Mus musculus: one gene and its partners. The protein of the gene in region 5 interacts with the protein of the main gene of each other region in a pairwise test. Links are inferred from orthologs where the notes say so. Each region holds a gene or a part of one and is shown on either strand. Other genes may lie near its edges.

What was found.
Region 1: the proteins of Eda (region 5) and Leprotl1 interact in binary tests that used the Homo sapiens proteins (3 or more experiments, as listed by UniProt). The two-hybrid records come from large-scale screens. The link is inferred for Mus musculus from reciprocal best matches to the Homo sapiens genes EDA and LEPROTL1.
Region 2: the proteins of Eda (region 5) and Gimap3 interact in binary tests that used the Homo sapiens proteins (3 or more experiments, as listed by UniProt). The two-hybrid records come from large-scale screens. The link is inferred for Mus musculus from reciprocal best matches to the Homo sapiens genes EDA and GIMAP5.
Region 3: the proteins of Eda (region 5) and Mal interact in binary tests that used the Homo sapiens proteins (3 or more experiments, as listed by UniProt). The two-hybrid records come from large-scale screens. The link is inferred for Mus musculus from reciprocal best matches to the Homo sapiens genes EDA and MAL.
Region 4: the proteins of Eda (region 5) and Cyb561 interact in binary tests that used the Homo sapiens proteins (3 or more experiments, as listed by UniProt). The two-hybrid records come from large-scale screens. The link is inferred for Mus musculus from reciprocal best matches to the Homo sapiens genes EDA and CYB561.
Region 6: the proteins of Eda (region 5) and Dolk interact in binary tests that used the Homo sapiens proteins (3 or more experiments, as listed by UniProt). The two-hybrid records come from large-scale screens. The link is inferred for Mus musculus from reciprocal best matches to the Homo sapiens genes EDA and DOLK.
Region 7: the proteins of Eda (region 5) and Emp3 interact in binary tests that used the Homo sapiens proteins (3 or more experiments, as listed by UniProt). The two-hybrid records come from large-scale screens. The link is inferred for Mus musculus from reciprocal best matches to the Homo sapiens genes EDA and EMP3.

The regions. Positions count from the first base shown.
Region 1 is NC_000074.6:34,143,940-34,148,183, forward strand, and holds the start of Leprotl1 (leptin receptor overlapping transcript-like 1), read right to left. Parts: upstream 2,801-4,244; 5' UTR 2,762-2,800; coding exon 2,746-2,761; intron 1-2,745. UniProt on the Homo sapiens protein: Negatively regulates growth hormone (GH) receptor cell surface expression in liver. May play a role in liver resistance to GH during periods of reduced nutrient availability.
Region 2 is NC_000072.6:48,768,052-48,772,167, forward strand, and holds the start of Gimap3 (GTPase IMAP family member 3), read right to left. Parts: upstream 2,801-4,116; 5' UTR 2,591-2,800; intron 796-2,590; 5' UTR 686-795; intron 1-685. UniProt on the Homo sapiens protein: Plays a role in T lymphocyte development and the optimal generation of CD4/CD8 double-positive thymocytes. Inhibitor of GSK3A, possibly by sequestering GSK3A in cytoplasmic vesicles and impairing its translocation to the nucleus.
Region 3 is NC_000068.7:127,653,896-127,658,167, reverse strand, and holds the start of Mal (myelin and lymphocyte protein), read left to right. Parts: upstream 1-1,472; 5' UTR 1,473-2,034; coding exon 2,035-2,127; intron 2,128-4,272. UniProt on the Homo sapiens protein: May be involved in vesicular trafficking from the Golgi apparatus to the cell membrane. Plays a role in the maintenance of the myelin sheath, and in axon-glia and glia-glia interactions.
Region 4 is NC_000077.6:105,934,488-105,937,987, reverse strand, and holds part of Cyb561 (cytochrome b561), read left to right. Parts: intron 1-147; coding exon of another isoform or gene 148-160; coding exon 161-359; intron 360-1,334; coding exon 1,335-1,433; intron 1,434-1,702; coding exon 1,703-1,806; intron 1,807-2,034; coding exon of another isoform or gene 2,035-2,078; coding exon 2,079-2,236; intron 2,237-2,420; coding exon 2,421-2,613; 3' UTR 2,614-3,500. UniProt on the Homo sapiens protein: Transmembrane reductase that uses ascorbate as an electron donor in the cytoplasm and transfers electrons across membranes to reduce monodehydro-L-ascorbate radical in the lumen of secretory vesicles.
Region 5 is NC_000086.7:99,974,423-99,978,405, forward strand, and holds the start of Eda (ectodysplasin-A), read left to right. Parts: upstream 1-1,183; 5' UTR 1,184-1,358; coding exon 1,359-1,754; intron 1,755-3,983. UniProt on the Homo sapiens protein: Cytokine which is involved in epithelial-mesenchymal signaling during morphogenesis of ectodermal organs. Functions as a ligand activating the DEATH-domain containing receptors EDAR and EDA2R. May also play a role in cell adhesion.
Region 6 is NC_000068.7:30,283,729-30,287,763, reverse strand, and holds Dolk (dolichol kinase), read left to right. Parts: upstream 1-1,409; 5' UTR 1,410-1,732; coding exon 1,733-3,337; 3' UTR 3,338-3,535; downstream 3,536-4,035. Other genes in the region: nucleoporin NUP188 homolog, read right to left, coding at 1,294-1,325. UniProt on the Homo sapiens protein: Catalyzes CTP-mediated phosphorylation of dolichol, the terminal step in de novo dolichyl monophosphate (Dol-P) biosynthesis. Dol-P is a lipid carrier essential for the synthesis of N-linked and O-linked oligosaccharides and for GPI anchors.
Region 7 is NC_000073.6:45,918,627-45,922,709, reverse strand, and holds the start of Emp3 (epithelial membrane protein 3), read left to right. Parts: upstream 1-1,283; 5' UTR 1,284-1,468; intron 1,469-1,860; exon of another isoform or gene 1,861-2,074; intron 2,075-2,305; 5' UTR 2,306-2,343; coding exon 2,344-2,421; intron 2,422-2,672; coding exon 2,673-2,775; intron 2,776-3,251; coding exon 3,252-3,392; intron 3,393-4,083. UniProt on the Homo sapiens protein: Probably involved in cell proliferation and cell-cell interactions.

The DNA of each region.
Region 1 (4,244 bases), on a different chromosome or scaffold from region 5:
TGGGACATTCTGTTTGCTCAGTAAACATGAACTCTGAAGGAAGTTAAAGACTTAAAGAACAAATGTCCAGTGATGACCACAAGCAGGTAGGGTAAGGGGTGGGAAGGCAGGTTACTGACGGGGTGTCTCTGAAGAGGTGGCAACTGGGCAATAGTCAAGGAATGCAGGGAGAGGTGCAGGTGTGTGCCGGGCCTTCAGCTGCAGCTCCTTGCTCTGTCACCAGAGTTGCAATTCTAAACTGCTTCCCAAACATCTTTCCTTTCCAAATGTTCCTGGTCAGCTTTGGTCACCCATGTCCCAGCTTAAACAATCAGTAACAAAGAATGAATACAGCCTGGGGGGGAGGGGGTGGAGTGGCAACAGCATTGTGTCCCCTATTGCCCACTAACTAGTTACCTTTATTTAACTGGGTTCTTCCTTTTATAAATAAGAAAAGGCTGCCAGAGGTGCTGGTGCACACCCAGGAGGAAGGCCGAGGCAGAGAGGCAGAGAAGCAGGTGAGTTTGAGGGTCAGCATGGTCTATAGAGTGAGTTCCAGGATAGTCAGTAATACACAGAGGCCCTGTATCAAACAACAACAACAACAACAACAACAACAACCACAACAACAACAACAACACAGAGAGAGAGAGAGAGAGAGAGAGAGAGAGATTGATTGATTGATTGAGTGTATCCTAGTAAGAAGGCTGAGGCAAGTTGAATGTGGGTTCCAGTTAGCCTGGACTGCATAATGTTCAAAAATGCTAATACAAAAGTTTAATAACACAAGTTAACTCATAATACTTTAAAAAAATCAAGAAACCAAAATATAAGGTTCTGGCATTGAAACACATTTAAAACTTGAGCTTAAATTACAGCCACTGTATCAATATTATAAGAGAATCCTTATTTTAAAATGCTTACTTTATTATGGAGGTGTGTGTCTGTCTGTGTGTCGATGAGGTAACTATGGGCTGGAGGTGCAGGCTTTTGTGAGCTGCTGGGTAGGGATGCTCGGATCTTGGATCTGAGCTCATCTCTTCTGTTAACTGCTGAGCCATCTCTCCAGCCCATAAAATTACCGATGCATTTATTTATACAAGATCCAATTCCTTTCAAGTACTCACATATGAAAAAACAAGCCCTGTAGAAGTGTTTGGGGAATGGAGATACCCTAGGGTCATATTTCCATGCATTCGATACTCAGTATTTAAAAGACGTTCAAAGCCATCTGCATGTGACATCTCATCTCTTAAGTCATCACAGATAAAAGCTGACACACGTAAACAAACTGCTCCACAATGCTCCCCAAACCAGTAACGTCTCTCCAGTCTTATGACACTGGCAGCTAGGTGGCTTATTTTATATCAACGGTGTCTTAAGTGACACACCAGTAAGGTAAGGATTCATACAGTAATTGACTGATGCAACACTCGGAAAATGAAACAGAGAGGAGTGTGGTTTCTACTTCCAAAGCCTCTGGGCCAGGGATGGAACAGCCCAATTACCTAGCAAAAATTCTCTAAAGATGGACTACAAAGACAGAGGTGAAGGGGTCAAGTTCCCCGGCCTGGGAGTTAGCAGAAAATATAATGTATCACAGAGTAGCAGGCAACTGGCTCAAGAAATATGTAATGGTCTTTACAGCAATACTCCTTACTTAAGGGCAATCTAAAGGCCAACAGGAAGAAATATCTTGATAAGCAACCTGTAACTTTAAAAGGCACTGAAATCTTTAAAAAGTAAAATTACCCCCCCCCCCAGTCACTGTCACCAGGATTAACATTATCCAGATTTGGAGAACCATAAAAACTGTTTTCTTTTTTTAAAGAGTCCCTCATTAATGACACCGCAGGTGGGTAGAGAAACGCAGGCAACATCCTAAAAAGAACAGCACTTTACAGTAACTTCCATCCACGTTAGAACTTGAAAGGGTCTATTATAGCTCAAAAAGAGATCCGAAAGTGTCCTAGTTGCTCAGATGACAAGGTTCTATACGAGAAATAACATCTTTTTTTTTTTTAGGCACCGAAAATAAACAAGACACCAGAAAAAACGTGAACCAGGGAAAAAGCTCAGCCAAAGTCGCCCTTACCAGCGAGGTGGAAGCACCACTATCCAACTGTTTTTACTTCCAACTAGGTTATCTCTTCTACAAAGCAGGTCAGGAAATCAAAGTGATCCGCTGATAAGTAAATACAAAACTTTGCTTCTAACCCCAGGGGCAAGACTACTACTGAGCCAAGTTCCCTGTCTTCAAAGAATGCAACATCCCGTTCTCTCTGAAGAAAACACACCAATAGACAAGTAACCTTTCATCAAGGTGTTCGTTACCTTTCTTCTTAAAAAAAAAAAAAAATCACAACTACAAAGTGTCAACGTGCACTTGTGGGGGAAAGGAAGCCAGGAGCACTCTGGGTTAGCATCCGGGCTCTACTGCACCTTAAAAACACCAAAGATGCATTCGATTTAAGAGGCAGGGAAAGCCTGTGCACCGCGATCCCGGGAGCGGATGCAGAGCCCGGGTTTGGGAGACGGGCGCGTTCGTGCCTCGGGTGGGAAACCACACTGGTTTGCCGTGCCGGGCATTCCTCCCGATCGCAGCCCTCAATGTCTCTGGGTGCAAACTCGCGCAGACCGCGTCGGTGGCCGGGTTGCCCCGTTCTGGTCCAGGGGCGGAGCGCCACCGCCGGAGGAGCCCGGCTGGGTCGTCCCCACGCCGCCCCGCCCCATCCCTACGGCCCCGGCCCCGCGGCCCAGGCCCACCTTTGATGCCCGCCATGGCGGTGACGTCGCTCCTGGCTCCACGACCCGGGCGGTGGCCGGGAGACCCGAGACGCGCGGCGGCGGCGGCGGCCAGACAACACCCGGAAGTGCACCCCGCTGCACTTCCGCCGGCGGCTCGCGCGGGGGCGTGGGGGCGCGCGAGGCCGGGCCGGGCCGGGCCGGCGTCCTTCCTTCCGCGGCTGAGGGGGGCCAGCTGGGGACGTGCGGGGCAGCTCCGGCCCGGAGTCCCCGCGGTCTCGAGAAGAGAGCGTGCGGAGCTCGTGAAGATGCGGGCGATGTCTTTGCGGGATCGCCTCACTTTCTGCCCCGCGAGCCCATTTCTCCTCCCACCACCCAGTCTGTGACACGTGAGATGGGTGGTCTCTGCTTCTCTCCTTGGGTTCCTAACACAGATCCCATGAGGTCCCCTCCACCCCCGCAGGGAGTCAACGAGTCATAATGTGAACATAAAGATGCTTCCTCTTGGGAGTCGGAGAGCTTTTCAGTCTTGGTGACAAAAAGGATGGGGAAGTGGGGGGGGGGGCGCCCCGCAGAGATCCTATATATTTATGTAAGCTTCCCACATAGCATATGCTGGGGAACCGGGTAGGCGTTGGGATGAACAAAACCAGGTGTAGTTTCTGCCCTCGGGTTGTTTGCAGACTAGAAAGAGAAAATACTCAAAAGAGAACAAAAGTGCGACGAAGATAATGGATAGCAAGAGGGATCCATCTGCACTCCAAAATATACCACTGGGGCGGCGGAAAGATGACTGTAGCTGAAATCAATTTTAAAAAAGAGAGAGACATAGAAGGGGAATTGGCTGCGCTCCTTTTCTGTACAAAATCAGACCGATTTAAGTTTCTCCTTGTAAAGGTAGCCGGAACTTCCTTTCCTGTGTTACATGAGAAGATATTTGCAACACAAAATTTCCCATGTGTAAATATTTTCATTTCTGAGGAAGAGACAGATGTCTCTGTAAGCAGCCGCAATTGGAGTTTGTAGAAATGTTACAGAAATAGCCTTTATCTCCCTTAGTTTTCCCCTGAAAGCCCAAATTTCTTCCATTTAGTTGCTTTCCCACAGCGTATTGCCTTTTGTTAAAATGCCTTATGGGCTCCCAGACCTAGCCGGTTGTGTTTTCCTTTATTCGGAACCTTGCTAAGCCTGTAAAATACAGCCTGTAAAATACACTCTCCCCTTTAATAGGCCTTACAGCTGCTAATATGTAGGTCTCCTCTGTTGAATCTAAGAAGGCAGAGACAACCTCTATCCTAGAAATATCTAGGAAATAGAAGACATGGGAAATAGTCCTTTGGTTTGATCTGACAGGACTCTTTTAATGGAAAGACAAAGTTGGGTTGTTTGTGTGTGTGTGTGTGTGTGTTGGGGGGCAGATGGAACATGCTCTTTGCTAATAAATGGAACGGGAATTTGGAAAGCTGGAGAGAGGAGAAGCCAATGGGTTGGTCACGGTTGTAGGCCCTATCCGAGAAGTT
Region 2 (4,116 bases), on a different chromosome or scaffold from region 5:
CAGAGAAACCCTGTCTTGAAAAACCAAAATAAAATAAAATAAAATAAAATAAAATAAAATAAAATAAAATAAAAAGAATGTCTAATTACAGAACCTCAGGGTCTCTGGTGTGTCACTTAAAAACACTTTTTGAAACAAATGGATTTTCTAGATGTTTTCTAGCTCTTCCACATATGAAACCGTCCAGAGACCAACTTGACAAGAAATATAAATTAAAATAAATATAAATTAAACTTTAATTTCAACACTGGATGCCAGGATCCAGCATTTAGCCCAGTAACTTTCAGCCTCCAGACACCTGCAGGGCTCAGGCATTCTGTCCCTCCATGGTCATGTGAGCCAGTTCCTAAAGCAAATCTCTGAATCTGTTGTTTCCATTGCCCTGGAGAGCTGAAGTCCATCAAAGCCAAGGCTCAGCTGAAGCAGAAAGATGCAGAGAACCAAACTCGACCCTCAGCTTTGCTTTGTTCTCTTTGTAAGAAAGAAGAGGAAAGGGTTGAAGCTCAGTCCTGAGGCCCTGTGGAAGCCCTGAGCGGCTTACACGTCTGTGAGGGGACTGACTAGGTTGAACAACACTGCCGATGAAAGAGCGAAGGTCACACTACCACTGCTTCCTGTACAGCTCCCTGGGCTGTGCTCCTCAGCGTATGCTGATGGGTGGGGTCTGGCGCCCCTAGGTGCTTACCAACAGTCTCTCAGGCAGGAGTACTCATACAATGCCTTTGGCCAAGCAACTGGTGGCAGGTCATTCCTCCAAATTGAGAGCCTTAAACTGCTGCCATCTCAGAATCAAGCCTGAGGAGAAAGAGGAGCGAAAGCAAGAGTGGAAACATTGCTTCTCAAGCCTTTTTCTTTAGACATTTTTTTTTCCTCTCCAGTGCTTTCTCTAGTCTGAACCCACACAGTTCCAGCAAAATGACTGTCACCTTGCTGTTTCTCATCTGTACCCCTTTCCCACGCGGTCCCCTTCATTTTATGCTGGGCCACCATTTTTTCAAGACAGCAGTGTGCCCTGTCCCCACCCACTAGGATCCAAGTGTCAGCCCACCCCTACCACTCCACCACTTCACCCACACACCTGTCAGTCCTTTCGTTTATTTTTTAAGAAGTCAGTGTGTGTGTGTGTTTGTGTGTGTGTGTCAGTTATTTCTGGCCCTTGGTTGAACCTTGGAGCTAGCAAAAGTGGAAGAGCTCCCCATATCTAAGAGGCCCTCCCCTGGCAGTGCTTCCCTCATGCAGGACTGGAAGAGACTGGAAGAGGGCATGGGCAGGCCACACTTAGAAGCACTGTGAGAAGGTCACAGACTTGTGTGTTGGCCTTGTGCAGATTATCTTGGTCTCATTTGAGAAAACTGATAATATCATTCTTTCTTTCCCATATCCTTCACCACAGCATCTTGAGAACAAACTGTCCTAATGGGGAAAATGTGTCATGCTGTTATGAGGGAAAACCAGTGTGCAATGGTCATGGGGTCCTTTCCGGGAATAAAAGCTTTACTGCCTGCAGCTTCATTCTGTTTGCTTTGACTGGTCTTTAAAGAATGTATTACTTTATCCAAAACAAACAGCAAATGCTTTCTGTGAACAGATGAACCTGAGTGAACGCACACCTTTAATCCCAGCACTCGGGAGGCAGAGACAGGCAGATTTCTGAGTTGAAGGCCAGCCTGGTCTACAGAGTGAGTTCCAGGACAGCCCGGGCTACACAGAGAAACCCTGTCTCGAAAAACAAAACAAAACAAAACAAATTCCCTCCTGCCCAGCACTGTGAATGTTCACCAAGAAAAAGAAAAGTGATGGGAAAGAAAGAAAATTAAACCTGCAGGGGACGGGGAGATAAGATAGCCAGTCCAGCCACTCAGTGAGTACTGGATTCAGTGAGATGATACGCCAATAGATAATTTAGCCAGTCAGAGAGTGCAGACCACAGTCAGTGATGGAAAAAGACATCTGGTGTCCCTTTGCTCTCCAACATCGAGGAACCCAAGGCTCTGGGGAAGAGCCTGGGGTTGTTCTTATCCATTGATAGAGTCCTGACCCCGACTGGATAAAGCGAATGCTAGTCAGACAGCTAGGGTTCCTTCTGGACGATGGGTAGTGTATGAACTTCAGATCACCCATGGGGCCCACGTTCCATCTTCCTGCCACAACTCTAATTTCCCAGCTCACAAAACCCGGTCTGATGCCCCGTCCCAAAGACTGGTTCCCCTCCAGCTGCTCTCTGGTTCCCAGACACTCAATACAAGCCTGGCTGACAGCTCTAGGGAAATTGCTTTAGAAGCTTGTCTGCTCCCTTTCGCCCTTGGAAAGCAAGGAGAATGTCTAAGAGTCCACCTCTCCTGAGTCCTCAGTGGTGTGTTAGCCTTGTTCTGTGAGGGAGAAAACTCACTGATGTTCCACAGACAAGACTAAAAGTCCCTGGGGAACAGGAATTTCTCTACAGTCTATGAAAAAAGATCAGTTGTCTTTCCCTTCAGGTTGACACTAATTGTTACTGGTAGATTTAAGGGTGAGCAGGATAGAAGAACACCACACACACACACACACACACACACACACACACACACACACACCACAAGATCCCTGTTACCTGGTGAGTTCCTGAGGATCTTTCCATTCAAGATCTATAGCCACTGTGGAGCTACCTTCCAGGCCTAGGCAGCCTCTCACATTGGTTTGTAGTCTTTCGTAAAAGTACAAGAGCTACAAGAGGTGAAGGCCAGCTCACAAGATCTGTCTTCCAGGGGGAGGAAGACGGTGTCTCCTGAGGGGTGGGAAAGGGTGATGTACATGAGTTTCTCTGAAAAGGGGTGCTCTGAGGGCCACTGAAGAAGGCAGCCAGTGGAAAAGGTTGATTTAAAAAAAAAAAAAAAGTTCTGCTTCCTGCTCCACCCTCATCGGCCACACCACTGAGATGTTTGTGTACAAAGTATTCTCTATGGGCCTAAGAGAATCTAGAAGTCTAAAAGCATGGGCAACCCAAGACTCTAGCTTCTGCTCCTCCTCACCAGGCAGACAGCATGCATCTCTTCTGCTCTGCTGTTTACCTCTGCCATCCGGAGGTAGCTTCTTAGATGGAATTTGAGGTGGCAGTTGAGCCTAAAGTGGCTCTCTCCAGGGCCCACTGGACAGATCAATAGCTATCATGCTTGAGCCTGGCTAAGGTACCCTGGCTTCTAGGGAGAGTATGGGAGAACAAGGCTTAGGTTTTCTCACCTGGGCAGACCTTGTCTCCACAGAAGCCATGAAGCTAGCTACCCAGTCTATAGTATGGTTTAGGCAAAGCAACAGCACTTAGTGGAATCCCAAGTCCCTGTGCCTCTGCCTGCTGCCCTGCAGGACTCAGGATCCGGAGTGAGCCAGGTCTCCTCCCTGGAGGAGTTCCACTTAGCCGTGTGTTTGAGTTCAGATCACTTTTTTATTCACTTGCTGTTCTTTTCCGCGTATGAGTGTTTTGCCTACATGTATGCAAGTGCCCTCTGCACATGCCTGGTGCTTGCAGAAGCCAGGAGAGGCTGCTGGATCCCCTGGATCTGGAACTATTAACACTTGTAAGGCTCCTTAACTACTGAGCCATCCCTCCAATCCCAAGTTTGGGTGATTTTTTTTTTTTTTTAAACAAAAGAATGTTCAAGGAGGAGAGTGGGATATGGGATCTATTTGGGTGAAATGAATATAGATGTTGTTCCTATAACCTGCATGTTCATATCCTTAGCTTTTTGTTTTGTTTTGTTTGTTGGTTTTTTTCGAGACAGGGTTTCTCTGTGTAGCCCTGGCTGTCCCGGTCTGTAGACCAGGCTGGCCTTGAACTCAGAACTATCTGCCTGCCTCTGCCTCCCAAGTGCTGGGATTAAAGGTGTGAGCCACCACTGCCTGGCTGTTGTTTTGTTTTGTTGTTTTAATTGACATGTATGCTCTTGTGGGTTCCTGAATCCACCTCAGCTCCTGCAGTGTGATTTCTTCCTCACAGAACTCAGGGATTGTTTGGAACCTTTTCTCACTGCAGCTTTCTGGTCCACGCCTCCAAAGGGAAGGTGCATCCTGCTGTGAAGGGACGGTCAGCAGGAAAGGAAGCCAGACTGCAGCCAATGAGAACAAGAGCCTGAGGCTCAAAAC
Region 3 (4,272 bases), on a different chromosome or scaffold from region 5:
TGGATCATTAGCAAGTGGCCCAGTGTAGCCTGGGGATGCTCAGCTGAAAGTGAAACCAGACCCGTCTACACAGCCAGGGCGCTCTATATCCAGATGGAGTCATTCTCATGCTTCCTTTGTTGCTAGGCGCAGACAAAGCTGAGTCCCCCTGGTCCTTACTCTCAATCCTTGGCTAACACTTGGGGCAGTCTCACTGAGGAAGAAGATGACAGATAGATTTGGGTAAACTATGGTCAGGAAGGTGAGCATCGAGCAAAGGGTTCCAGGTGAGATGGGAGGGTCACCAAGACAGGGATGGGGAGGCAGATTTCCTTGACGTTGGCCAAGATGACCAGCTAATCCTCCCTCTGGACTTAGAGCCTCCCCCACTTTATCCTGTGGGAATTGGAACTGCCAAGCCTTCCTGAGTGCACCAGTACTTTCCCCTTAAGTCATTAGCCCAAATGTTAAGGCCTTAGCCACAAAGGTTTGAAATAAGCAAAACCAGGGACACTCAAAGCCAGGCAAAGACATTGTAGAGTCAACAGCACCTTTGTGGGCTTTTATAGTTAGTATGCACGCCCTTAGAAATTGCTAACCAACTTCAACTGGATTTGCTAGTTGGTCATCTTATATCCGGCTGGTGGTGGCTTTCTGTGGCCAGTTTGCTTGGGTTTGCCTCCACTAAATATCTCCTTAGAAGGAAGAGACACTCTCAGGATCCAGCAGGGCTACCAAGTTGTAAGCTGCCCAGGGTGAGGGAATAGGGGAAGGGGCCCTGAGGATCTCACAGCTCATCTTATCTAGAGGCCTTGACCTGGGGAGCTGGATATTTGGCGGAGGCACTCACAGGTATCCAAAGCTGACAGCGTGGAGAGGCTCACAATAGAACAGAGCATCTTCCCACTTCAAACCTCTGGTCCTTTCTCATAAGCGGTTGCTCTCATCAGCAAATTCATGGGCATGGAGTCTTGCTTTTGAAAAATATGCCCAGAAATGTACTTCTTGTAGGGAATGGAATAAGGCTGTGCAGAGGGAAAGTGGGAGGGACCCTATACACACAAGACCCTGAACAGTAGTGGCAACTGGGGTAGGTGGAGGTCAAGTTCAGAATCTGAGCTGGAGGTTGAGAAAGGCCATTTCCCTTTCAGCTAGAACAGAGTTTAGCCTTACCGTATGTAATTTAAAAAGAAAAAAAAAAAGGATTGGTGTGATTTAAATGGCAGTTACTGGAGTGTGATACTTGTTTAAAAATAAAGGCAAAAATAAAACGTAAAGTTGTGGTACAAGAAGAGTAAATCCCCAGAAACGACTCAGCAGTCCATAGAGTCAAAGGACACGGGATGGGGGAGAACTGCCCCATCTCCAGAACTGAGGGAATCTCCCCTGGCAATATCTGCCCCAGGAATGCAACTTGTCCCATCACCACCGCCGCCGCCAGACAGCCTCTCAGATTCGTTCTCCTTAGAGTCACTTCCTTCCCTCCTGCTGGCATATAGTTTCCCTGACGAGCCTTGCTGTTGCCCCTAGAACCCCCAGCCTGCCGGTGAGATCGAAATGTGCCCTCCGGGAGCTTGGATGTGAAGGCTGCACATTAACACACCCAGCGGAAGACTGGAGACACGACTAGAGTTAAAGGGAATGGATGTCAAAGTGGGGAAGTCTCCGATAGGTTATTGATGAATAGTGATCACCTGCGTGGCGCGCAACACAGGGAAGTGCAGCGCGCGAGCCGCTCCATCCACTGCCCTCAGGCAGGTGGCAACTAGGGTTAGGTCAGGAGCGTACAGATTCCCAACCCAGTCCTGCAGATCTTCAGAGAGCACTCCGTCGGGTTTCAGGGCGGCGCCAGAGGCGATTCAGCCTTGTCCTCTAGGGCAGTAGACCCGGGCGGGGCGGGTGGCCGGAGCTCCGCCCTCCTCTGACCCTGGCTTTTCAGCTTTTAACCCGCGCGGGAGGGCGCCGCGGCCACTGGGCTCTCCGGAGGGAGCGAGTGGTCAGTGCGGAGCCGGAGGCGAGCGTGTCCAGTCCCAAGGCCGACGCCAGCTCGCAGGCATGGCTCCGGCAGCGGCTTCGGGTGGCAGCACCCTGCCCAGTGGCTTCTCGGTCTTCACCACCTTCCCTGACTTGCTCTTCGTTTGTGAGTTTGTGAGTGATAACGCGCCCTGCTCTGGGAAAGGGACCGGGTGGGTTGAGTTGCTGGGGGTGGGGTGGAGGGGTTGGGGGGGGGGGGAGCTCTGCAGCTCTGTCCCCAGTCACAGGAGGGAACTAAAATCGGGAAAGTTTTCCCCATCTCTCCGTGGTCTGCTCCTTTCTAAATTAGCGGACCGATTTCCCAGGCAGGTGCAGAAAAACCTCTTCCTAGAGTTTAGCTCCTATCCGAGCGCAGCTTCCTTACAAGGTACCACTGAGAGTCCTCCTGAGTAAACAAACCCAGCTAAAGAACCCTTCCATGCTGGCGACAGAGATTTGGAGATCAAGAGTAGCCAGCCTTTTTCAGGCCCTTTGAAGTTTCTGGGAAGGAAATGCCTCTGTGCCAATTTTGAAAAACAGTGGCTGTGCTTTGCTGGGCCGCGGTCCCCAAGCCCTGTGTGAGGGGAGGGAGGAGTCAGGGAAGACAGGTGAATTTTGTCGCCTGCCTTGGCTGACCTTGGGCTGACTCTGCGCCTGGGCTGGGTTCTATTAGCCTTACACTGTAGAACCGACCCACTAGCTTCGAGAAACTTTCCTATTGTGAGCTCCAGCCAGGCTTCAGAGCTACTTCAGTTTCTAGTCCCCAGGGTCCTTTAGCACTTACCTGGACAGGAGGGTGTTTGTTCAATTCTGTGGGTGTGGAGACAACATTTCCTGTGCTCCCACCACGCAGAGGTCTTTGTGTGGAGTAATAACTTGGAGAAAAAAAGTGTAGGTGATTTTAACAACTGGATCCCAGCTAACTGGATGGCTAGCAAAGGAGGCTGTGGACACCAAGAACAGTAGGATCCATCATCAAGGGGATGTCACTGAAATTGAGATGAATATTGAGTTGAACCCAAACGTGGGTATTTCTAAAGTGATTTCACACCCCAGGCACAATCACGGCCCAGGCTATGGAATTAACATAAGAAACCCTGCACACCGCTAGCTTACAAATAGGAACAGCCAATGCCCAGAACAGGGTTGGACTTGCCAAGGTCATCCAGGTCTTTAGCAAGCCTTCCAATCTCATAGAGTTCCTTCTAGGCTCAGGACTGCCAAGCAAACCTTGGAACAGTGCCAACTTAATGTAGTTGACACAGGCATCTGGCCCATATGAGAAAGCACCTACTGGGTGCCAGGGGGTGGGGAGGAGCATTCTTGTCTTTGTCATCTCTTAACCTATGTCTGCCCATTATTGGGTTTCTAGAAATGAGCAGATGGTATCCAGGACCTGGGACTAAGTCATGGGCGGCTCCTCAAAATTTTACAAAGAGGAACTTACAGAGGTCTGATCAAAAGAGAGCAAGATTGCACCTGAGGTGTGGTGGGGCACAGAGGTTTTTAAGGGAGAAAAAAATCTTAGTCTCGAGAAACTGCTGTTGGCTCCTTGGAGAACACCGTACCAAGTCATGAGATAAAGTGGCAGTTGGGCTTCATGCTTCTTTGCGAAAACTTTGATTGTAGACACACACACACACACACACACACACAAGGGCAGGGGAGCTCTGGTGATGGCAGGTCCACAGCCGCTTTTTTAGTTATTCTCCCACTTTTTTAGTTATTCAGTATGACAGAAAGGCTAGTTCTGAGGATAGGAACAGGCAGGACAATCAAATCCATAGAGAGGGCAGGAGGACCCCACCATCCCCGTGAAGAGAGTCTCTTGGTATGGAAAAATCTCAGCATTATTTGTTTAGTGAAAATGCCCCACACCGGTGTGCTCTCCAGTCCCGTGTGTGGTAGCAGGGGTCTCTAGGGTCCCCTCTTGACCAGAATCTGTCCCTTTGTGTTTTAAAAAATGTGTCCCTTCTACCTCAGCCACCTTCTGTCTGCCCACCTCCCACATCTGTCACTTTCTCCAGAGACCTTCCATGGCTCACTTGCCATCTTTGACTGTTTCTTCCTGGAGAGATTAGGGCTGGCTTTCTGCCTGGGGAGCAGGGAGAAGGCAGACTCGGTCTGGTAAGTGTTCCTCAGCATAGACCATGCATATGAAACAGTATGTGCTTTGATAGAAAGCCGGAAAGTTAGAAGCCCGGAAGAAGCACTGACCAGCTCAGGGGTGTCTTCTTAAACTAGAATATTATAACTCAATGCCTAAAATACAATTATAAT
Region 4 (3,500 bases), on a different chromosome or scaffold from region 5:
TTAATGGTGGGAGAGTGAACAGAGGCGTGCACGGCTTAGGCCCTGGGGTGGAAGAGGTGGCAGTCCCGGGGACAGGTCATGGGTGGTTCCTTTTAGCTAGCTCTCTCTCTCTCTCTCTCTCTCTCTCTCTCTCTCTCTCTCTTGCAGCTGGGGTCTCAGAATGGAGCACAGTTCTGCGTCTGTCCCTGCTGCACTGCCGTACTATGTGGCCTTCTCCCAGCTGCTGGGCCTCACTGTAGTGGCTGTGACTGGTGCGTGGCTGGGTCTGTACCGAGGTGGCATTGCCTGGGAAAGCTCCCTGCAGTTTAATGTGCACCCGCTCTGCATGGTCATAGGCATGATCTTCCTTCAAGGAGATGGTGAGTCCCGTGGGGCCAGCTCCCTCAGCCACTCTCTGTCCCTCAGTTTGTAGCTGTCTTTGGGAGAGGCCATGTACAGGGATCCTGTCCCACCAGACACTCCTTCCACTTAGACAAATTGATGATTCTAGACAAGACAGATGAAGAATCTAGGGAGTCCAGGGGGACTGTGGTTGGAGGGTGATACCTGCTTTCCATCGGTTGCACTGGTACCTGCCTCTGGTTTCAGCAGATGGCATCTCCAGGGCTACAGTTGCCTTCTAGATAGAGCAGGGCCAGACTGGGCTATTAGTTATCTTCAGGGGCAGCTGGAAGTTGGGAAAAGAAGTAGACATACATGCATGTGTATATTGTTTCCTGTGGACCTGGCTGAGCTAGAGGGTCTGTCTGTCCCTGGGGTAAGAGCCAGCAGGTGCTTGGTCTAATAAGCACACCACCTGTGGGGGCTAGATGGTAGGGAGTGGGGCCTACCGACAGCCACCTCTCAGCAGCAGGTCCTAGGAGGCATCCAGGGGTAGTGGAAATTAGGCAGGATCACATGAAGCCTTGAGAGCGTAGCATCTGGCTGTCAAGAGCAGTACGTGCCTGTCCAGGAAGGTTCCAGAACTGTACTTTGTTAATGGGTACACAGAGTCTGGCCATCACCTCAGTGTGACAGCATGATGAGTCCTAAATACTGAATCACTGACTTATATCTCAGGCCAAGCAGTTACTCAGGGTGCTCTGCAGAGCCCTGCCTTTGCTGCCCCGATGGTAGCAGAGGTGTGGCGTAGCCTCTTCTCATGGCCCCTGGGTGTGCATGGGGTAGAAGAAGGACTCAGGGGAACCCTGACCAGGATGAGTGCAAGGTCCTTATGGAATCCTGATCTCTCCTTCAGTTTCTGTGCCTGGCAAACCTCGACCGACAAGCTCTTAGCATAGTCTGCTGTCCAGCACAGGCCTACACTCTTACATCTTTCTCTCACTTTCCATAAGCTCTGCTGGTGTACCGTGTCTTCAGAAGAGAAGCCAAACGCACGACCAAGATCTTGCATGGGCTGCTGCACGTCTTCGCCTTCATCATCGCCCTGGTGGGTGAGTTCCTGAACACAGCGTTTCCTTCTCTACCTGCTGCTTCAGGCTCCAGCAGCTGCTGCTGGACACACACTGTTCCTGCTCCAAGCTGCTTGGCTTTGCCCCTACTCTTCTTCTCACAGGCATCACAGGCAGGGACACTGGGTGCTGGCCATCATCTGGCTGGACCAAAGCCCAGACGTTCTGGCTAGTGTTTCCTCCCAGGCCTCCCCTCCCTTCCCTTCTCCATGACTAGCCCTGTCCTCACATGGCCCTTGCCTCTGCTCCAGGGTTGGTGGCTGTGTTCGACTACCACAAGAAGAAGGGCTATGCAGACCTGTACAGCTTGCACAGCTGGTGTGGGATCTTAGTCTTTGTTCTGTACTTTGTGCAGGTGAGTCTAGTGCTGTGGCAGCAAGGGCTGGGAGAGGTAAAGGGAGGGCAAATGGGGTCCAGGTGTGGCATGTAGGGGCCCATTCTCCAGGGGGCATGTCCAGAAAGGAAAAGAGCAGATGGATTTAGTTGGGTGGTTTTCCGAGGTTGACCTGGGTAGAATCTAGATTCTAGAGGCCAGGGTACCCCAGACTCCTTTATTCCACCCACCGACTATGCCTCCTATTAGGTCCCAGCCAGCTCATGGCTCAGCAGAGCCCTCTCTCCCTTTAGTGGCTCGTGGGTTTCAGCTTCTTCCTGTTCCCTGGAGCTTCATTCTCTCTGCGGAGCCGCTACCGCCCTCAGCACATTTTCTTTGGTGCCACCATCTTCCTCTTCTCTGTGGGCACAGCCCTACTGGGCCTGAAGGAGGCCCTGCTGTTTAAATTGGGGTAAGTGTCCTGGAGAGGCAGGGCGCCAGGGCCTTCTGCCTTCCTGGAAGCCTCTCTCTGAGCTGGCTTCTCACTGGGAGGGTGGAAGGTTGGGCATCGGGAAACCCGAGGCATCTTTAAGGCCTGGACTATGATTGTCTTAACTGGAACCCTTGGTGGCTTTTCCCTTCACCCTACCCTACAGGTCCAAGTACAGCACGTTTGAACCTGAGGGGGTGCTGGCCAACGTGCTAGGCTTGCTGCTGGTCTGTTTTGGGGTGGTTGTGCTCTACATCTTGGCTCAGGCTGACTGGAAGCGGCCTTCCCAGGCTGAAGAGCAAGCCCTCTCCATGGACTTCAAGACACTCACGGAGGGAGACAGCCCCAGTCCCCAGTGATCGCCCTCCTTGTCCTCTTGGCTCTGTGGGTTTCCAGATATCTTTTTGCTCTTCCCTGCAGACACTGAGTCTCTTAGGTCCAGGAGTGTGAGTGTGGGGCTGTGTTGTTAGTTTAGTGGGGTTCCAGGCTTTGGAGTTGTTCTCAGTCTCCCTTCCTCCCCTTCCTCTCTGCAGCTTTTGATACATCCTGTGAGCCCTGAGTAGGCTCTGTCTGCCTGTACCCGCTGTTGTCCGTTCACGTGCAGAAAGCTTGGTTAGGGGATCTGGGGTCAAGCCTGGCCCTGATCCCTATTGGAGCTAGACAATAGCTCCGCCCTCCATGCAGCAGATGGCTGCTGGGCCTGGGCCTGAGGGACTGGCATGGAGAAGTCAGACCGCTGCTTTGTGTATTCAACCCAGGAGTTCCAGCAGCTTGGGAAGCATGTGTCCTTGGCAGTAGAGCAAGTGATATTATGTGTAAAATATGCTGGTGTTCAGAGGAAGGCTCCCCAGAAAGGTTGACTCTGGCTCCCAAAGGAGCCTTGGCGTGTGGGTTGGCTACAGTCTTTAGGCCTTTCTGTTCTTTTAAAATCCCTGATCATTAAATAGGCTTTTCGTGGGGAAGGGGATTAGTGATCAAAACTCAGGTAAATACCTGCCCTGGTGGAGGAGGGCAGGCTGCTTGCTCACAGTGAGGGCTGCCCTGGCAGAGTACCTCCCTTCAGCAGGGGCTAAGCCCTAGCTTCCTTCTGCGGGCCAGCCTGGGCAGACTCTGAGAGTGGGAGGCCACACCTCCGGAGTTTTTGGAAGAGGGCTGCTGTTTGCCTTGTTCTCCAGGGGGGCTGCTGGGGTACCCTGGCTTGGGGTGCCCTGTCTTGGTTGAAGCAGCCCTGAGGGATCATGGTCCT
Region 5 (3,983 bases):
CAACTAATCTTTTCCATCCTTCATTTCCAGGTCTATTGTTCTGACATTTGCCATTTTCCCCCCTCTGACCCTGTTTCTGATTGGTGCAGCTGTTGAAGATGCTGCCGTTGCAGCAGTGTACATCTGGAACATTTGGCTGACTTGTTGAACTTACCCCAGGGAGTACTCCAGGGGAAGCATGGGAAGGGTGGAGAGGCCAGAACAGTTGCCTGCGAATACAGATGCCAATAGTGTCTGGCCATGCTGTGGACCACCCCTGTAAAAATTCACCTCATCATGACCCTCAGTTTCCCCACCTGCTCCTCGAAGGCTCAAGTTCTTCCAAAACTTGTGCAGCTCTGGAAAAAGATAAACTTTTGCCTGAGGGTTCTCTCACACGGTACTTTCTGCACTGTGAAAGGGATCAATGCATATCTGTTGAATGAATTACTATATCAAGAAATCCTAGGAAACGGTTTTAGCCTTCAACGGACAGCATCACTTCAGTTTTACTTGGCACTAGGCACCCTCTCTATGCCCTCAGACTGTGCCCCAAGACTCATTTTAGGAGTGAGGTTGCCCTGTTCCCAGTCTGTTTGGCTCCCAGGCTCCTAGGTCTCCTTTTCTTCTGGCGAGCCATTGAATTGCAAACACAGCAGGCATGGTTTCATTCCAAACCCTGAACTGTTTTAATTAGTTTAACGTCTGTTAAACGCTTTGAAGATTGAAAGCAACAGATAAGTACTGGATGATGTTATTAGCAACTGCAGTTAATTGCAAACATTTCTATTAATGCTAGTTTCTGCCTCCTTTTCTTTTCTCCACGTTCTTTCCAAGGTTCCCAAATTCTTCTCAGCCTCCCCCTCCTGCCCTCCCCCATAGCGGCGCTGAAGGGTTAAACCGGGGTGGAGTCTAGAGATGAACGACAGCCGCCCTCACCAACTGCAACGGGGCAAGCGGGAAGAGCTGGGTGGGGCTGCCAGGCAGAGGTGAACCCCCACGCCCCCAGGCCCCGCCCCACGGCTGGAGGCCCGAGTGGAACGGCAGGGGGCGGGGCAGCCAGGCCTGGCGGGCCCGTGGTTGGGCGTCCCGGCCGCCCCTTGAGGCATGGGGCGGGGTAGGTGAGGACCTCCTCCCTCATTCCCTCTCTGGCCGCGCCGCCCCTCTCGCCCGCCCCTCCTCCTCCCTTTCCCACCCCTCGGAGTGGAGCTGCACATGCGGCTGCTCCCTGTTCTGTCCCGCCCAGCCACCGTCGCTCAGGAACGGGTCCCTGCAGCCCCCAGCCGATGGCAGGACAGTAGTCGCCTGTCAGGGGTCGTGAAGGACTGAGGCAGAGGCAGAGGCTCCCGGGCCTCAGATAGTGGTTGTCTCTGGAGGCCATGGGCTACCCAGAGGTAGAGCGCAGGGAACCCCTGCCTGCGGCAGCGCCAAGGGAGCGGGGCAGCCAGGGCTGCGGCTGTCGCGGGGCCCCTGCTCGGGCGGGCGAAGGGAACAGCTGCCGGCTCTTCCTGGGTTTCTTTGGCCTCTCGCTGGCCCTCCACCTGCTGACGCTGTGCTGCTACCTAGAGTTGCGGTCCGAATTGCGGCGGGAACGGGGAACCGAGTCCCGCCTCGGTGGCCCGGGTGCTCCTGGCACCTCTGGCACCCTAAGCAGCCCTGGGAGCCTCGACCCGGTGGGTCCCATCACCCGCCACCTGGGGCAGCCGTCCTTTCAACAGCAGCCTTTGGAACCGGGAGAAGATCCACTCCCCCCTGACTCCCAGGACCGGCACCAGGTGAGTCACCTAGGAGGGGCGGCGGCCTTGGAGGCCCCCTCCCCTGCTCGGTTGGGCGGGGGCCTGGGCCTCAGGGCTCAGGGGACTCTGCCACTCAGAGCCAAGTTCCAGGGCAGGAGCTGGGAGTGGGCCGGAGTGCTGGGGAGAGGTTGTCCAGGTCAGGTTGTTCTCGGTTCCTGCCTTGGCTCATCCAGACCCTCTCCGGTCCCGTGGAGTTGGAAAGCCCAGCCTGCACGCGCCGCCCCCGGGGAGGTGTGGGCTGCTTAGCGAAAAGTTGGCCTGCCTTGCACCCATCCGGGCGCGGAGGTGCCTGCGCCGCCCCCGTGGCCGTCTAACGGCGAGCAGCTTGGCCCCTCGTGCCCCCTGGTGAGTTTCTCTGCCCGTGGTGCTTGTTTCTTCGTGTCCCGAGCTGATGCCAGCACTAGCAGGCTCCTCTTTGGAGTTGGAGCTGTAAACAGCTGTACTAACTGTTCCACGCCCGTTGAAACAACTTTTAACCATACTTTCAGCGCTGGATTCTTGTGCGCTGACCAGGACCTGAGCTTTTTTCACACTTACCTGCAACTTGAGACGGATTCTCTTCTGCGTTCTAGTTAGGATCAGCGCCCCTGAGGAATTCTGGTAGAAATATGCCGTCTTGCTAGACAACTTCTGAACAGCAATTTAAAAAATCTATGGAAATAAAACTCACCCTTTGCATGCCGGTTCTGACACTCTTGTAGATGGAGTTGGGTGCAGTGGGTGTGAAGAGTTTTCATTATTGCTGCCTTTGGAACAGGAAGTTGGATTTTTGTTTTGTTTTGATAATCTTTAGAGGGTTTGTATCTCTTTTAGCAAACCATTATCGTAGTTGTTTTTCTTACTCGTTATTCCAGCAAATTTAGTGTACTTGATATTAAGTCTTCCTGTGGTTTCCATAGCTGTCTCACACTTGAATCTTAGGCAGAACATCCAAGAATCTTTTTGAGGTGGTTAAAGATTAATGGTGAATTTGTAACTTCTGGAGAAAACGACACTTTGTGTAAGTAAGCTACTTGAGGTGAGACATGGAAGCCTTCTGTACTTGGTGCTATACCCATAGTTATTGTCACAACTCTTTAAACATTATTTGTGTTGCTTTGACTTTCCAAGTTGTACACTTTAGAGGTGTCACATTCATAATAATACTCTAGTGTCAGAACACACACTTTCTCTTCTTTTCCTTTCTCTCTCTGTGTCTCTCTTCCTTCCTTTCTTTCTTAACAATGTGCTTTGTAAAATTGCTTCAGACCTAAAATGTCTTTCAAAGACACTCAAATTTATATAACTGCGTATCAAAGAAGAGAATCAGTAGACGGGCTTCTCATACTTGAAATTTTAAACACCGGGGCTAAATGACAATGAATTAGGACTCTGGGTCTTTTATTTACTACCCCCCTCCAGGATCCTAGTAGAGGTACTTAGCAGCTGCACCTTGATATTCTCTCTCTCTCTCTCTCTCTCTCTCTCTCTCTCTCTCTGTATGTACACACACACACACACACACACACACACACACACACTCACTCAAAAGAAATCAGGAAATTACTCAAATGGTGGTCAAGGATTTTTGGCAATCAGGATGGACAGAGCGCTGGTTAGAGATTGTGGGACAGCAGTATACTAGAGCTTCTGTGATGGCATGGGACTCTCACAGCTTTGCAATGGCCTTTAGTTGCTTACATCAGATGTAGCAAAAATACTTATGTGTTTCAGCACAGCTTCTTATCTGCTATCCTTTAGTCTATTTTAGTCTATGGGGCAGTCAAAGCAATGATACCAGTTCTTTACATTCATTAGCATTAATTGGAATTTATGTTTTCCAGATTTGTAAGGTACCTCCTGAATCTATTTTATTGATTCCTTTGGAGAACATACAGGCCTCAAGGGAGAAGTAAGTGGCCCAAGATATCCTAGCTTGAGTCAAAACTAGGATGAAGGTGCTCTGCCATCCTCCAGTTTAGTACACAGTCCTCCATAATATAGTGTCTACTGAGAAACTTTGTTTTTGAGGGGGGCGATGAAGGGACAACAGGTTGAAACTCCATAGTAGGCTTTTTACAAAATGAGAGGCTCAGATCTGTGTCACTTTGTTCTGCTCTAACTAATTTTGACCAGACTAAGTTTAATCACATATTCCTTATTCATCTTGAATTTCACTTTCAGGAGAATTTTAGCCCACTGAAGACATTTTATCCCAGATTCAACTAA
Region 6 (4,035 bases), on a different chromosome or scaffold from region 5:
TGCTAAGTTCCACAGAAAGCTCAAAGCCTGCTGGCAAGCCAAAACTTTCCTTTCCTTTTGAAAAAATTCATTTTTTTACAGTTTTCATACAAGTATTTATCCATAGCTGTGGATACAAGGTCTGGCATGAAACAAACCGGCCCTTGCAAGGACCACACTTTATCCACAGGAAACTCCAAAGAAAATGTTACCCCTGGAAGGTGAAGAGGCTAATGGAGAGAAAGATCAGCAATGTGTGTGATAATTACATGTCTGTCTGGGCGTTTCAGGTTTCCACAGGAAACAAGACCAAATAAAACTGGCAGAGTCAATTCCAGGTGACTGACAGGGAATGTTTACATTTAAGGGGAGGAAGGGCAGTGAAGACCCTTTCTGATCTATAATGTGGATACATACAGAGGTCTGGTTAAGGCTTTAGAGCCTTCCATCTGAAGGCTCACGGGGATTATCTCGAGGGCTGACAAGGGGGGACTGCCTATGTATGAACTGGACTTCTGAGTCCTGTGGAACAGGAGGCGCCTCTCCTAGTCGTGAGAAATGAATGAGGTAAGGCCTGCACGGCACTTTCCCAGGGTCTGGCGCTAGTAAGCGCTCTTTAAAGGCAAGCAGGGCTCGAAATTCATGTCTGTAATTTCCGCACCAAGAAGGCAAAGGCAAGACAACAAGGAGTTCAAGGCCTGCCCGAGAGGCAAGAGACCTTACCTCAAAAAAGAAACAAACAAACAAACAAACAAACAAAAGCACTCTTTTAAGTGAGAACTGTATATTTGTTTCGGGGTAATTCATCTTGTGTCCGAAGCCTGGCACAAAACCCGGAATCGCATGGAAGATGAAGGCATGCCTGCTGATTGCATCAATATCGGCATTAGCCAAAAATAAAAGAAGGCGGGAACTAAGGATGCCCGCGGGAAGAAATCGCGGCGTGGGCAAGGCACACCCGAGGGGGAGCAGGGCGCAGGGACAGCAAGGAAGGGATCGCAGTGGGGTGGGTCTTCCAGGCGACCCCGAAATGTCCCGCAGTGCCTACAGGCAACGTGGTGGAGCAAGCGTGGGTGTATGGGGACTACCGGAGGCTCAGGGACCACGGAGAGAGAAGGGAGAGCGGCAGGCCCGCTCCAAAAGTGTCCTCAGCCCCGCGAGCGGGAACGGTTTGGACCTAACCGCCTCCCCGGCAAGTGTCCGTCCACCCAGCCGGGGCTCGTCTCTGCCACTGCGGCTGAGCCCCGGTCCCAACTCCCGCCCAGCTCCCAGCCCGCGCTTCACGGCCACCCCCTGCCGCGCCCCACTCCGCACCTCACACACGGCCCACCAGCGGCAGCCGCCATCTTCGCGCGCGCGGCCCAGCCCCGCCCCCATGCGCCGTACCCACGTGACTGGGATCCTCCAGCCTGGGGGCGTGGGCTTCCGCCACGTGATGGTGGGCGTGGTCAAGATGGGGCTGTCAAGATGGCGCTGCCCTGGTGCGAGGGGAGTCCGCGGTGGAGGCGGTGGAGACTGTGAGCGGTGAAGAGGGCAAACATCTGCTACACCGTAGGTTGACAGCGGAGGCGGGTGACTGGGCGCCGGCTCCCAGGCCTCAGAGTGGCCCGTGGTGGAACACCCTTTTGGAAGCTGGAGAAGGTTGCTGGCTGGGTGAAATTGCTGCCCCTCTGCTTGGCGGGTTGAGGGCCCCAGAGGCCAAGGCGTCCCTAGTCACCAAACTTCTTCTCCCAAGAGCGCCAGACCTAGAGACATGACCCGACAGTGCCCTCCCCAGGAGTCTGGGGCTGCGCTGAGCGGGTCGGTGCTGGCGGAGGCTGCAGTGGTGTTCGCCGTGGTGTTGAGCATCCACGCTGCAGTGTGGGACCGATACTCCTGGTGCGCGGTGGCCCTCGCGGTGCAGGCCTTCTACGTCCAGTACAAGTGGGACCGGCTGCTCCAGCAGGGCAATGCCGTTTTCCAGTTCCGGATGTCCGCGAACAGCGGCTTACTGCCGGCCTCCATGGTCATGCCTTTGCTTGGGCTAGTCATGAAGGAGCGCTGCCAGACTGCAGGGAACCCATACTTCGAGCGCTTCGGCATTGTGGTTGCAGCTACTGGCATGGCAGTGGCCCTCTTCTCCTCCGTGTTGGCACTGGGCATTACTCGCCCGGTGCCCACCAATACTTGTGCCATCTCTGGTTTGGCTGGAGGCGTTATCATTTATATTATGAGGCACTCGCTCAGTGTAGGCGAGGTGATCGAGGTCCTGGAAGTCCTGCTAATATTTGTTTATCTCAACATGATCCTGCTGTACCTGCTGCCCCGATGCTTCACTCCTGGGGAGGCACTGCTGGTATTGGGTGGCATTAGCTTCGTCCTTAACCAACTCATCAAGCGCTCTCTGACTGAAAGCCAGGGGGACCCAGTGGACTTCTTCCTGTTGGTGGTGGTGGTAGGGATGGTGCTCATGGGTGTCTTTTTCAGCACCCTCTTTGTCTTCATGGATTCAGGCACCTGGGCCTCTTCCATCTTCTTCCACCTCATGACCTGTGTGCTGGGCCTTGGTGTGGTTCTGCCCTGGCTGCACTGGCTCATTCGTAGGAACCCCCTGCTTTGGCTTCTTCAGTTCCTCTTCTACACTGAAACTCGCATCTACCTCCTTGCCTATTGGTCTTTGCTGGCCTCTGTGGCCTGCCTGGTGGTGCTGTACCAGAATGCTAAGCGGTCGTCTTCTGAGTCCAAGAAGCACAGGGCGCCTACCATTACAAGAAAGTATTTCCACTTCATTGTGGTAGCCACTTATATCCCGGGCATCATCTTTGACCGGCCACTGCTGTATGTGGCCGCCACTGTGTGCCTGGCAGTCTTCATCTTCCTGGAGTATGTGCGCTATTTCCGAATAAAGCCCTTGGGTCACACTCTGCGAAGCCTTCTGTCCCTCTTCCTGGATGAACGAGACAGTGGACCCCTTATCCTAACACACATCTACCTGCTTCTGGGCATGTCTCTTCCTATTTGGCTGATCCCCAGACCCTGTACACAGAAGGACAGCCTGGAAGGAGCAAGAGCCCTGGTCCCCTATGCTGGGGTCTTGGCTGTGGGTGTGGGTGATACTGTGGCCTCCATATTTGGCAGCACCATGGGAGAGATCCGCTGGCCTGGAACTAAGAAAACCTTCGAGGGGACTATGACATCTATATTTGCACAAATCATCTCTGTAGCTCTAATCTTAATCTTTGACAGTGGAGTAGACCTGAACTACAGTTATGCCTGGATTTTGGGGTCCATCAGCACTGTATCCCTTCTGGAAGCGTACACTACTCAGATAGACAATCTCCTGTTGCCTCTCTACCTACTGATATTGCTGATGGCCTAGTACCAGTAGCAGCTGTGATGGGGAAACAGGGAAATAGAATGAATGGTCCCCACAGCAGCTAGCCACCTGGACACCAAGAATCAAGAGATGGAAAGCAGATTTTGCTTCATCCAGGAAGATGAAGCCAGAAAGTTGTTTCAGACTTAAAATAAAGAAGCAAAGCTCTCCTGGTTTTATTTTTGCTGATATTTAAAATACAAAAAAAAAAAAAAAAAAAGGCTTAAAGGCATACACCAATTCAAGGAACTTGAATATGCTGCAGAGCCCCCATTTTAAAATCTGGGTAGAGCATGGCTAGAGTACACCCTGCAGGCATCAACAGAAAGCATAATGCTTAGGTGTTCATGTCAGACAAATCTGGTTAGAATCCTTGGCCATACAGATTAACTGTGTGGCCTTAAGAAAGTCTAAGCCTCATCTGGCAGTGGTGGTGCACGCCTTTAATCCCAGCACTTGGGAGGCAGAGGCAGGAAGATTTCTGAGTTTGAGGACAGCCTGGTCTACAGAGTGAGTTCCAGGATAGCCAGGGCTACACAGAGAAACCCTGTCTCAAAAAAGAGTCTAAGCCTCAATTGTTCTATCTGTAAGATGAGAATAATGTCAGCCTGACTGGATACTGGAAGTCTATTGAGAGGAAATGTGTAAAGTGTCTAAAGTATTCAGCCTGGGTGTCAGTGAGATGGCTCAGTGGGTAAAAG
Region 7 (4,083 bases), on a different chromosome or scaffold from region 5:
TCTCCAGGGTCAGAGTTAGACTTCCCCTTGTTTCTGTCCCCCTCCTCCATCCATCCTCATTTAAGATTCCAAACTTTAGCTTCCGGACGCACTGGCCTCAAGTCTTTGCCCTTTCTCCAATTACTAGAGCCAGAGTTCCCTCGACTCCACTCGGGGCTCCAAAGCCCGCTCTAAGTTGTACAGTATTACCAGGCACTGCTCTAGATCTAAGCTAGCCGCGATGCTATCCCTCTTTTACAGATGAAGGAAAATAGTGGAGACGTCATCAGTAACGCCTATGGTCACACTGCCAATGGATGCTGCAGAGGCTGTGCTGTGTGGTACCCAGCTCCCAGTCTCGCAATCCCCAAGCCAGCTGGTCACTCACCCCTGCAGGCTTAGGTCATCACACCCAGCTCTAGCACCATCATCCAGATCCCCAGCCCTAACTTCATCAGTCCTAGTTCATCACCCACAGCCCCTAACTCTGAGAATAAATGATAGTTCACACTATAACCCTGGGACTAGAGTGCTGTGAGAATTCTAATGGCCTCCCACAGCACTTACAGTAAAATCCTGATTCCTCCATGACTTCCAAGTGAATCCTCTGCTGTCCCGCTCACCACACCCTACGCTCTCTGTGCTCCAGACACACTGGCCATTCTGTCTGCTCTCCAAACGGCCAGCGTTTCTTCTCAAAGCTTGGGACATTTTCTCCCTAGTATCCAAATGACTCAGGTCAAATAGCACCTCCTCCAAGAAGCTTTCCAGGATTATCCTTTTTAAATTAGCATCTGCCCACCTAGTCATTATTGCCATCCGTCTATTTTCTTTATTGACTGTGTATTATACCCACTATATAGATTAGCAAACTGAGGCCCAAGTAAGTGAAATAATCTATCCCAGGCCACACAACCATGGAATGGCAACATTGGCATTCTTTAAAGCTATATCCTGCTCCTTCCCGTAATTTCATACTTTTTGTCCTGCCATGAGCCAGCCCAAAGTTTGATCTGTGTCACAGGATCTGGCCTTCTACAGATTCTTGTGTCATCTACTCTGCCCCAAACTTCATCAAAGAGAGCAGGCATCCAGTCCAAGAAGGTAACATGCTCCACCCCAGGGCCTCAAGGACTTCTCATCTGAGCCCTGAAAGGAGGTCCCAGAACATGCCTTCTGTGTGACTGGGTGGGCAGAGAATAAGGAACCAAGATTTCGTGCCCTCCCCTGACTGGAGACCTCAGCTGGGCGAGGCTAAAGTGGATATAAAAGGGTTGGTATATATTGAGAGTCGAGAGAAGCAGAAAACCACCAGAGGAGAGAGAGAAAGGGAGGGAGGGAGAAGGCAGACGGAGAAGGGTGGGTATTAAAGGGTGGGAGGAAGGCGGTGAGGGAGGCGGGGGCCTCAGAGTGGAAGGAGGGAGCAGAAGGGCGGGGCAAGAGGCCCAACGAGGACAGACTCCAACTCTGACTTCTTCAGCAACTCTCGGTAAGTTTTTCAATCCGTTATTCAGATGGGGCTTTATTTACTGGGCGGCATGGCACCATGGGCGGGGCACCTTAGGCAGGAAGAGACCCTCCACTCTTAGCTCCAGAGGAGACTGGTAATTGAAGAACTGATCTCTCAGCCTTTGTAGTGGGAATACAGGAGAGCTTAGAGCTGTCTATGAGACTTGTCCCAACAGAGCCCACCATGAAGAATGTCCTGTGGCTTCTCCCTGGGGTCTTCCACTCCCTTCTTAGATGAAGGGGTGCAGGAGGGCTCCCAGGGCTGGCTGAGTTCTCTGGACACTGAAGGGTGGTAGGAGGTGGTCTCTCCACTCAGACCACACCCTCCCTGCTGCAAATCCACCTCCCTGAGTGTCTAGAGCCGGGGTCTGCAGTCAGGTCGGGTGAGGACCAGAGACTCAGCCAGAGGCTGGCATTTCCCTGGTGTTGGAGGGAGGGGGGATGAGTCACTCGTGACTCACTCCAGGAGAAAGAAGAGAGTCAGTGAGTCAAGGATGCCTGTCCCGGGGGCAATTCCTGCTCCTGATGGTTCATATGGAGACCCACACGGCCCAGGGACAGAGTGTTGAAGATGCACCAGCTCACTGTTAGTCCTGCCCGTTCCTCTGTCTCCCAAAAGTCCATCTAGGACAGTCTCTGCCCGCCTCCAAGAGCAGGAGTCCCCTGGCTTGCCCTTCTCCCCAGGGAGGAACTGCTCGGCCTACTCCCCTTCTCCCTCACACCAGAGACTTCCCTACCTCCCTGGCCCTCCTCTCTGATTTAGAAAGCCATTCTCCAGCCCTCCTCCCCTAGGATTGAGTGCTCCCACCCTTTGCAGGCTTGCCTCTCCTGCCCTGAGCCAGACATCTGGCAGCCATGTCACTCCTCCTGTTGGTGGTCTCTGCCCTCCACATCCTCATTCTTGTCTTGCTTTTTGTGGCCACTTTGGACAAGGTAAGTTTCCAGCTCACTGGGAACCCCAGATATAGCCCATCTCTAAGACCCCACCTACCTGCCTCTGCTTCCCTTCCTCCCTACCTCTGTGCCTCCTCCTCCCCACTCCTCCCCTTCCCTACTCTTACTTCTGCGTGTGTACTTTCCCCTGGCCTAGCCCATGCATTTGGCCATCAGGAGTCATCCCCACTCTCCCTGACATCTTTTGTCCTGTGTCTCACCTCACCCTCCCCGGTCTCTGTCCCTTCCAGTCCTGGTGGACTCTCCCAGACAAAGAGTCCCTGAACCTGTGGTATGACTGCACGTGGAACACCACCACTCAAACATGGGCCTGCAGTAACGTCAGTGAGAATGGTGAGCATATGGCTGAGGGCAGGGGAAGGCCTGCCAGGGCCAGGGTTGGGAGCCTAGACTAGGCTATGAGCACCTGGGGTGGCCATAGGCAGCTTGTCTGGATGGAAAGGCACCAATAAATCCAGAGAGGTTGGAGCCACATGCTGTAGCTTAAGGAACAGGGGAGAAAGCTCCCTAAATTCTGAGAAGACTTTTCAGAGTTGTAAAGAAATGGAGCGAGTGTTGTGATGTGGGAGGGAGAATAGGGAGAGGCCAGAGTTCTAAGAGATGGAGTGGCCTGCCTCCTTTCAGGATTCGAAGTGACCGCCAGTGAGTGTGGGGATGGGGCTCATCAGTAAGATGTTTCCCTGGTAACCCTTGTAATCCTTGTAACACGGACATCTCTGAAGCTTGCCTGGCTGAACCTACAGTGAGTAGAGTCCAGCCAGTGGGAACAGCGGTTCCAGCTGTGACCTCACCTGTGTCGCCCCCTGTAGGCTGGCTGAAGGCAGTGCAGGCCCTCATGGTGCTGTCTCTCATCCTCTGCTGCCTGTCCTTCATCCTCTTCATGTTCCAACTCTACACCATGCGGCGCGGAGGGCTCTTCTACGCTACCGGCCTCTGCCAGCTTTGCACCAGTAAGCACTTCCCCCAGCTTGGGGAACGGTGGCGAGGAATGGGAGCGGGCCACTGGAGGCTCCCAGCCCTCTCCTGAGAGCAGCCTCCATGGCCCCCACAGGAGAGGGAGAGTGGAGCTGTGTGCCTTAGAGGCTCTGCGGTGAGCCAGTGCTTGAGAAGTCAGTGGTGGTAAATGAGCTGGGTTCCAGGGATGGGGGCAGCTAAAGGATCCACAGAAGGAATGTTCTGCATCATATCCGCCAACTGTGGTTTCTTGGGCACCTGTTCAAGAAGTCGTTTTGTTTGTTTGTTTTCTATTCTCCCAATACCGGGGCTATAACACGGGGCGTGCCAGACGGACTCTCATCTCTGAGGCATGTGCCCAGCTCCACACTGGTGGATTCTAGGCATGTGCTCTCAACTCTTTTTATTTATTTTATTGGAAATAGGTTGGATAAATGGTCCCAGCTGACCTTGAACTTTCTATCCTCATGCCCCAGCACCCTGGGTAGCTGAGAGAGCAGAGGTGGGCCATTATGTCCCACTTTTTTTTTTTTGTTTTGTTTTTGGTTTTTCGAGACAGGGTTTCTCTGTGTAGTCCTGGCTGTCCTGGAACTCACTTTGTAGACCAGGCTGGCCTCGAACTCAGAAATCCACCTGCCTCTGCCTCCCAAGTGCTGGGATTAAAGGCGTGCGCCACCACCGCCTGGC